2 linked regions of the Daphnia pulex genome follow. The protein of the gene in region 1 purifies or fractionates together with the protein of each later gene. This does not show direct contact. Links are inferred from orthologs where the notes say so. Each region holds a gene or a part of one and is shown in the gene's direction. Other genes may lie near its edges. The genes, in order: serine/threonine-protein phosphatase 2A activator-like and serine/threonine-protein phosphatase 4 catalytic subunit.

Region 1 (3,568 bases):
GCTGCATGTTTTTGGATTTTGTTCAAACTTTTACAAATTTTATTGATAGAAGACCTGTATGGCATAAGGCAGGCTTCTACATATTGTAAGTATATAGTAATGGTGTGTTGTTTGTCAGTAAAATCACCATATTTTCTTCTCTATTTCAGAATATCACTACCTGCAATGTTCCTTTGTGCTGGCTTGTCAACATTCCTTGGCAGTGCAATGTTGTTTGCAACTGGAGTTGTCTATGGTCTCATGGCTCTTGGGAAAAAGTAAAGATAGATTACATTGCTTAGTTATTTTATTATACTGATAATTTTTATTTTGTCCAGGGCTAGTCGAGGTGAAATGCTAAACCGTGCCCAAACAGATTTTTTGGCAACTAATCTGGTGAAGAACATGGAAGTCCCTATTCCCAACCAGTCAGTTCCCTAAGTAATTACGGCTAGATTTATAATGGTTTTATTTAACGTGATGAGAAAAATTGACGTGAGGACGCTATTTGAGTGTGAATTAGCTCGCTTAGTAACCCTTTATTAGTGTACTTCACGAAAGTGTCAAGCATGAAATGACTTGTTTGTCAGTTTGTTGTGGCACTAGCATTCCGATGTGTGTTTGATGTGAATACAGTTGTGTGCAAAACTCAAAGTTTCATTGTAATGGAAACAAGTAATTCTCTTAGCTAGCAAATAACTTAAGCTTTATTTGCCCATAATGTTCATTATTTAGTCATTTAAAAAAAAATCAATCCCGTTCTATACCAGAGCCCTCCCAACCTCTCTGGTTATCACAGTGGAAGCGTGACTAACCACGGACTGGGCCACAGAAAAGAAGGGAAGATGTACACTTATAATTTAAACTAATGTATCTCGAGTTAAATGTCTGTAGCAAATCACAACTCCAAGTCCCCGATTTTCGTTTAAAAGAACGTCGGTCATGACGAGACTGAATGGTGTCCGTAATTCTAATTATGACCTAAAATAGTAATTTAAATAGTTATTGCTACTAAAACAGGAATCCTCGAAATCGTCTCTAAAAACTAAAACATTAGAGGTAAGCGTTAGTGCAGATACATTTTTTAAATACTAGCTTTTAGACGAACACCTTGATATCTCTACAGAGAGCAAACTCATTTGCTGGTTCAATGTAAATAGTCCGGAAGTAGACTGGAAGTAAGCGATAGCTACTTTCAGCTTCAAAACAAAGTAGATATCCAATTATTCATGATCCCCGTGAAATTTGGGGTCGATATATTGCCATTTTGAATTTGTTTCAACCACGATAGGAGGTAACACAGGTTAGGCAATCGAAAAACAAAAGAAAATTTTTGCGTGTTATCTGGTCTTTTGGTGTGTTGTTTTGCTTTTTAAAAATGAAACCAAAAATCACAAACAGCCCTTTACCCTAGTTGGATCCTTGCTAATATAAGGAACGCAGGTTGCTGACGATTCAAAATCTCATTTTTCCTCAATCAAGTTTTTACTATTTACGCCAGGTGGCAGTGTTACATCACAACAGAAACCAGCTTAAGAAAACAAAAAATTATTCTTTTCGAAACAGCTCAAAATCACAAAGCTTTTTATCAGAAAATAATTATTACTTGGGTATATATTTGATAATAAATTATGGAGGTGTTGACGGCTCCGCGCAAAGAAATTTTCAATCCTGATGACATGTCAAAGTGGCTGAAATCAGAAGCGTATCAGGTTTGCCGGTTCAGTGTGCAGCATAAAATAACCGTTCTAAAAACTAACGTTTTAATTATTCATACAGGAATACATGGGATTCATTCTTGCCATTAACGAAGCTGTGCAAGGAAAGAAAGCGTCGAGTATCCAGTTGAACGACAGAATAGTGAAAGTGGTTGGTTTGCTGGATTGCCTGGATCGTTGGATTGATGAAATCCCCCCAACTGAACAGCCCCAGCGCTTTGGCAACAAATCATTCAGGGTGTGGTCTCAAAAACTCAAAGATGTAAGTTACCTGTTAGTAAGTTGAACATAATGAGGAAACACTGAACATGTTTTTTAAATAGGAATCCTCAAATATCCTTAAAGATATTTTACCTGAAGAGTTACACTACACAATTCCTGAAATAGAAGTCTATTTAACTGAATGTGTGGGAAATTCTACAAGAATTGATTATGGATCAGGACATGAAATGTCATTTGTCATTTTCTTGTACTGCCTTTTCAAAATTGGTTTCTTGACCCTTGGTGATCAAGCTGCTGCAGGGATTGTTGTATTTGATAGGTATCTGATTTTTTACCTTAAATCTGTTACAGTTGTGATAAATGGCAGTTTTTGTAACAGGTATATGTCGTTGGTTCGAAAACTGCAGTTAATTTATCGTATGGAACCAGCAGGTTCGCACGGAGTTTGGAGCTTAGACGACTATCAATTCGTCCCTTTTATTTGGGGAAGTTCTCAACTCATCGGTATCGTTACAATTTTTTAATAGCAAAAATATTTCAAAACTAAAAGTCAATCTTTTTGTAGAAAATCAGCGGTTGCCACCCAAATCTTTTCCTAATCAGGACATTGTCGAATGTTTTGCCAAAGACTACATGTTCCTTGGCTGTATCAAATTTATTTTCAAGGTGAAAAACGGGCCGTTTGCTGAACACTCGAACCAACTCTGGAACATCAGTGGGGTAGCAACTTGGTCGAAAGTAAATTCAGGTCTGATTAAAATGTACAAAGCAGAAGTTTTGGCCAAACACCCTGTCATGCAGCATGTTCTTTTTGGTTCTCTTTTACCAATTACGGAAGCAAATCTGCAGAAACAATAAACGAACAACACATTTGCATGAAACTACAAATATTCCTCTTGAAAAAAATTCATTTTTTAAATTTTGATTCTTCTTTACGTTCGTCTATAGTTTCATCAAATATAATTTCCAATTCCAAATGAAATTTAGTGTGTATATTGCTAATTGAAATAATTTAAAGGCTCGCGGACAAGGGATGTAAGGGGACTTTAAGGGCGGACAAGGGATGAATTGACAGGGCTCATGTGAATCGGTTCGGATGAGGCATCGGTGGAGGCTTGCTTCCAGCGGAGGAATGTAGTTCGCTCGTCATCAACCCCGAAAGTAGCGATGAAGATGTTGACAATGGTAACCGCAAAGATAAAAATAACGATCACGTCACCCATTATTTGCGCTACGTCTCTAGTCTCTTTTTTCTTGTAGTCGTAGCGGCTGATGAAAACGAGCAAAATACCAGCTATTATCTGTGAAACATTAAACGTCCAAATAATTCAACATTAGGTCTCTAATAAAGCCGTTATTCTTTTATAATCATCCAAGTGTATACACATACCTGAAGAGCGATGCTGATTGAAATGAGTACGATGTTCACTTGATGGTAGATATCCCAATAGGGAGATCGCATGACATACCTCAATTGACTGGCGTTGGCCGTCAGCAGTGCGATATCCATCATACCTTGTTAAATAAAAATAAAGATACGCCGAATATGGATACAATTCTCATTCGTCTAATTCTGAAATAATTTTCAATTGCATGATCTCACCTTGAGCGATGTTCTTTTTGGTAGTGTAATTGATTCCATTGTTGAC
Region 2 (4,493 bases), on another chromosome or scaffold:
ACAAAACTCGAAATTGAAGACAACCATCGCGATTGGGGGCTGGACAGATTCTCACGACGGAACCACCAAATATTCGGACATGGTGGCCAGCTCGACTAACCGAAGGACTTTTGTCGATTCAGTCTTGGCATTTCTTGACAAGTATAAATTTGATGGACTGGACATCGATTGGGAATATCCGAGTAGTGCGTCCGACAAAGTTGGGCTTGCTGAATTAATGAAGGAACTTCGAGCCGCATTTAATTTACAGACACCGAAATATTCACTCACTATCGCTGTGGGAGTCAATAAAACCATTAGCGACCTCGGTCAGTATTAATCAATAGTGTATATGAAATAAAAAGGTTTTTTTAATACATTTTTTCAACGTTAGGATACGACATACCTGTGTTGGCCACGACAGCTGATTACATCAACATTATGGCTTATGATATGCACGGGCCATGGGAACCTTTAACTGACCATCACGCCCCGCTCTATAAAAGAGATTGGGATACAGATGAAACCAACAATATCGATGCTGTCGTCCAGTACTGGAAAGATAGCGGTATGCCGTCCTCAAAACTCATGCTGGGAATTCCCCTATACGGAAAGTCCTGGACACTCGATTATACTTACACGGAGGATCCCACGCTTCCGGCACCCGGTTTGGGACCTGGAGCTGCAGGACCTTTAACCGGTGAATCGGGAACGTTAGGATACAACGAAATCTGTAATTATGTGAAAAACGAAAATTGGGAGGTGGTGGTCGATCCGACATTCCAAATCGGTCCATACGCTTCCACTCCGAGCGTGCCAAAGACTTGGGTTGGTTACGACGATCCCGTCATGGCCAATGTCAAAAGTCGCTACGTTCTGGAGAGGGGACTAGGCGGAGCCATGGTTTGGGACATGAGTACCGACGACTTTAGGAACACTTGTGGTGATGGACCCAATCCTATTATGACCAACATTTCACGAACTGTTGGGGTGACGACATCGACTACGACGACTTCACCGGCGGCGACCACCAAGACTACTACAGCCAGCACCTCGACGACTACGGGTGAGACAACGACAACAACGCCAACAACACCCCGTCCATCCACTACCAAACTGTCCACTTGGCCAAGAGTCACGACGGAGTCGACACAGGCTACGAGTTCGAAAACGCCATTCATACCAAACAATGGGCACCGAATTGCTGGCAATAGTCAGCAACTTACATTTTTGGCTTTCGGGTTTATTTTAATTAATTTAGTTATCTAGGACGTTAGAATTCAAATTTAACAATTTTTAATCATTTCTAATATTTTAAATCTTATTACTATATATTCAAAATCTGATTGATTCGGCCCGCAATACACACGAGTGATAATTAAATGTTGTTAATTGATATACTCATTGAGTAAGCCAAGAGAACTCTTATTTTTTTGTTGCAAAATTGCGTTAAAAATGAATTAGAAATTTGACAACTCCAATGTCGATTGAGCGAGTGCCGAGTGGCATTGTCAAGTGTCGAAACAGGAAGTGTTTAAATAAGTAATGGGTTAACGGCTACATTGTAAAGACCAGATTTCCAAGGCTTGAATCAAGGTTGGTTGTATTATGAAAGTCTTTATTGCAAACAAGTAAACGACCGTCAGAAGATCTGTGTTTTGACTGAATCAGAAATGAGAAATCAGCCTGAACATGCCCGTCTCAAGCAATCGATTTTTTTTAATCCAAAGGAATTCTGAGAAATAAAATATCAATTGAATGTCAGCGTTAGTTAAGGTCCCGTTTGAATAAACGAAACCCATCGTGACCATGTTTTGGTAGCAAACATCGGGCTGAAGGCCGACTGACGTCAGAGAATATTTCAAAATTGATAAATAATGTATCGAAATATTTTTTTTACTAGCGTGCTAGCGATGTTATCTTTATTTGTAAATTTTTTTTCTTACTAATAATATTACCAGATATTTGTAAATCATTTTCAGAACAATATCGATATTTCAACAAAAAGGAATAAAAAGCGCGCTTGAAATTAAAACTGCGGAGAAACTTGGCAACGCCGAATAATTTAATGGCGTTTAGATTGAAGCCCAGTTTTTTTGTCCGGCAACGTAAGGCAAGCCAAGGAAGTAAGGATAGCTTTGAAGAACGACGAGGACGGATTCAATTCGTGGCTTAACTCTCGATCGTCAACTTATCCAGTCACGAATTCATTCTTCGCCATCACCACTCATATTTCATTAATAACGCAAAGAGGTAAAGCTTTTATCTTATTCTCGTTCTGTGTAATGTCAGTTTCCTCATTTACCAAGTCAATGTGTATGACATCACCGGTCGGCTGTTGCACATACTCAAGGTCGTTATTCTTTATTTCCCTCTCGTCAACTAGGAAACAGACAACGTAAATATGTCAGACTTTAGTGATTTGGATCGACAGATCGAACAACTCAGACGGTGTGATATCATTAAAGAATCAGAAGTCAAAGCCTTGTGTGCCAAAGCACGGGAGATTCTGGTTGAAGAAAGCAATGTTCAGCGTGTTGACTCTCCTGTCACAGTAGGTTTCTCATAAGCTTTTGATTATTGCTCAATAACTAACATTTTTTGCTTGCTTTAGGTTTGTGGTGATATCCATGGCCAGTTTTATGATTTAAAAGAACTTTTTAAAGTGGGTGGGGATGTTCCAGACACAAATTATCTATTCATGGGAGATTTTGTTGATCGAGGATTTTACAGTGTAGAGACCTTTCTTCTCCTATTAGCTTTAAAGGTAGTATACATTTTTGTTAAGCATTTCTTTCTCTTGTTTCTGATTTGAGATTTCTTTCTTAGGTTCGTTATCCAGATCGCATCACTTTGATTAGAGGGAACCATGAATCACGTCAAATTACCCAGGTTTATGGTTTCTATGACGAATGTTTTAGAAAGTATGGTTCAGTCACTGTGTGGCGCTATTGTACTGAAATTTTCGACTACCTGAGTCTTTCAGCCATCATTGACGGCAAAGTATGCTTCCAGTAGTAACATGCATTGATAAAAACTCTAACATGACATGTTTTTCAAATTTTAGATATTCTGTGTGCATGGTGGGCTATCTCCTTCAATTCAGACACTGGATCAAATCCGAATAATTGACAGAAAGCAGGAAGTTCCTCACGATGGACCTATGTGTGATCTCCTTTGGTCTGATCCTGAAGGTAGGAAAATAAATATTGGCTATACTTCTGAAAGTGGTAATTCATTTCTGGGTGTTTGCTTTTGACAGATACACAGCAAGGATGGGGAGTGAGTCCACGCGGTGCCGGTTATCTTTTTGGCTCCGATGTTGTGCAACATTTCAACACCTCAAATGACATCGAAATGATTTGCAGAGCACACCAGCTTGTCATGGAAGGCTACAAATGGCATTTTAACGAAACGGTGCTGACGGTGTGGTCTGCCCCCAACTACTGCTATAGGTTTGTCTTAATTTCCCGCCAGATTTCACCAAGATGATTACTTAAACTTTTAATATTGCAATAGGTGTGGAAATGTAGCTGCCATTTTGGAATTGGACGAAAATCTCCATCGAGAATTCACGATTTTTGAAGCTGCCCCTCAAGAGACTCGTGGCATTCCTTCCAAAAAACCTCAAGCCGATTATTTCCTATAAGAAACGCGAAATGTTGATCGTTGATATATCCCCTGCGATTTTTTACAAAAATAATTATTCGGTAATGCATAAAACAAAAAACACAAAAAAAAAACAGTAACTGATGTGAGATACCCCATCAGTTGAAACAGAGCAAAAGAGCCTGTATCATGTTGGTTGACCATTTACCTTGACCGCCCGGACTAACAAATAGGTTTTTGAAAATTCTGTTCTGTCCAATCCCTTCCTTTTTTTTGGTAAACACAGTCTTGTCCTTTATAATAAAAATATATCTTGATCGTCCAAACAAGTGTTCAGTTTCCCTTTTCAACTTTTTGCTGCAGGATATCACATCTGACTATAAGCTACTCCCACTACTCAGTTTAATGAACAATATCTTTGTGTACGTGCGGTTATGGTATGTTGGGGGCGAATTGTGTGACGTGTGTAATTATTTTTTAACATCAGTGCTAAATATTGATGCAATGGCCATGCTTCCAAAATCTTTTTTTTTTTGTTTGTGTTGCACCCATTTATATTATTATGAATGTGATGCTTGCGATGGCTCTCAACATGCACTGTATACAATTTCTTGAAATAACGATGGACTTGAGACGAAAACATGTTTAGTGTACCTGCATTAGTTTCGAAAACAAGGCTCGATGTTTACTTTCTCAACATTGAGTCATAACGGCTATTCATTTTTACGATCGTTTTTATTATCACCGCTGTCCCGAAACAACATTGCGTGATGAATCAGCTGATAAGGTAATATCGTTGTGACATTCGACTACCGTGTGCGGTTTTGTGATAAGGTTACGTACTATCACAAGGTAATCCACGTTTAATCAACTTTCCCTTTTGTTAATTAATGGTACTATTTGAC

What was found.
Region 2: the proteins of serine/threonine-protein phosphatase 2A activator-like (region 1) and serine/threonine-protein phosphatase 4 catalytic subunit purify together in Homo sapiens (affinity purification with mass spectrometry; 3 studies listed by BioGRID and IntAct, with this or other methods). This does not show direct contact. The link is inferred for Daphnia pulex from reciprocal best matches to the Homo sapiens genes PTPA and PPP4C.

Annotation. Positions count from the first base shown.
Region 1 is NC_060019.1:7,364,995-7,368,562, reverse strand, and holds serine/threonine-protein phosphatase 2A activator-like, read left to right. Parts: upstream 1-1,483; 5' UTR 1,484-1,610; coding exon 1,611-1,691; intron 1,692-1,758; coding exon 1,759-1,959; intron 1,960-2,020; coding exon 2,021-2,238; intron 2,239-2,298; coding exon 2,299-2,423; exon of another isoform or gene 2,424-2,484; coding exon 2,485-2,777; 3' UTR 2,778-2,807; downstream 2,808-3,568. Other genes in the region: calcium channel flower-like, read left to right, coding at 1-85, 150-257, 318-420; ninjurin-A-like, read right to left, coding at 2,966-3,220, 3,310-3,434, 3,523-3,568. UniProt on the Homo sapiens protein: PPIases accelerate the folding of proteins. It catalyzes the cis-trans isomerization of proline imidic peptide bonds in oligopeptides. Acts as a regulatory subunit for serine/threonine-protein phosphatase 2A (PP2A).
Region 2 is NC_060025.1:1,447,564-1,452,056, reverse strand, and holds serine/threonine-protein phosphatase 4 catalytic subunit, read left to right. Parts: upstream 1-1,484; 5' UTR 1,485-1,575; intron 1,576-1,961; 5' UTR 1,962-2,232; intron 2,233-2,365; 5' UTR 2,366-2,383; coding exon 2,384-2,533; intron 2,534-2,593; coding exon 2,594-2,746; intron 2,747-2,808; coding exon 2,809-2,982; intron 2,983-3,046; coding exon 3,047-3,173; intron 3,174-3,241; coding exon 3,242-3,434; intron 3,435-3,498; coding exon 3,499-3,628; 3' UTR 3,629-4,228; downstream 4,229-4,493. Other genes in the region: probable chitinase 10, read left to right, coding at 1-308, 374-1,248. UniProt on the Homo sapiens protein: Protein phosphatase that is involved in many processes such as microtubule organization at centrosomes, maturation of spliceosomal snRNPs, apoptosis, DNA repair, tumor necrosis factor (TNF)-alpha signaling, activation of c-Jun N-terminal kinase MAPK8, regulation of histone acetylation, DNA damage checkpoint signaling, NF-kappa-B activation and cell migration.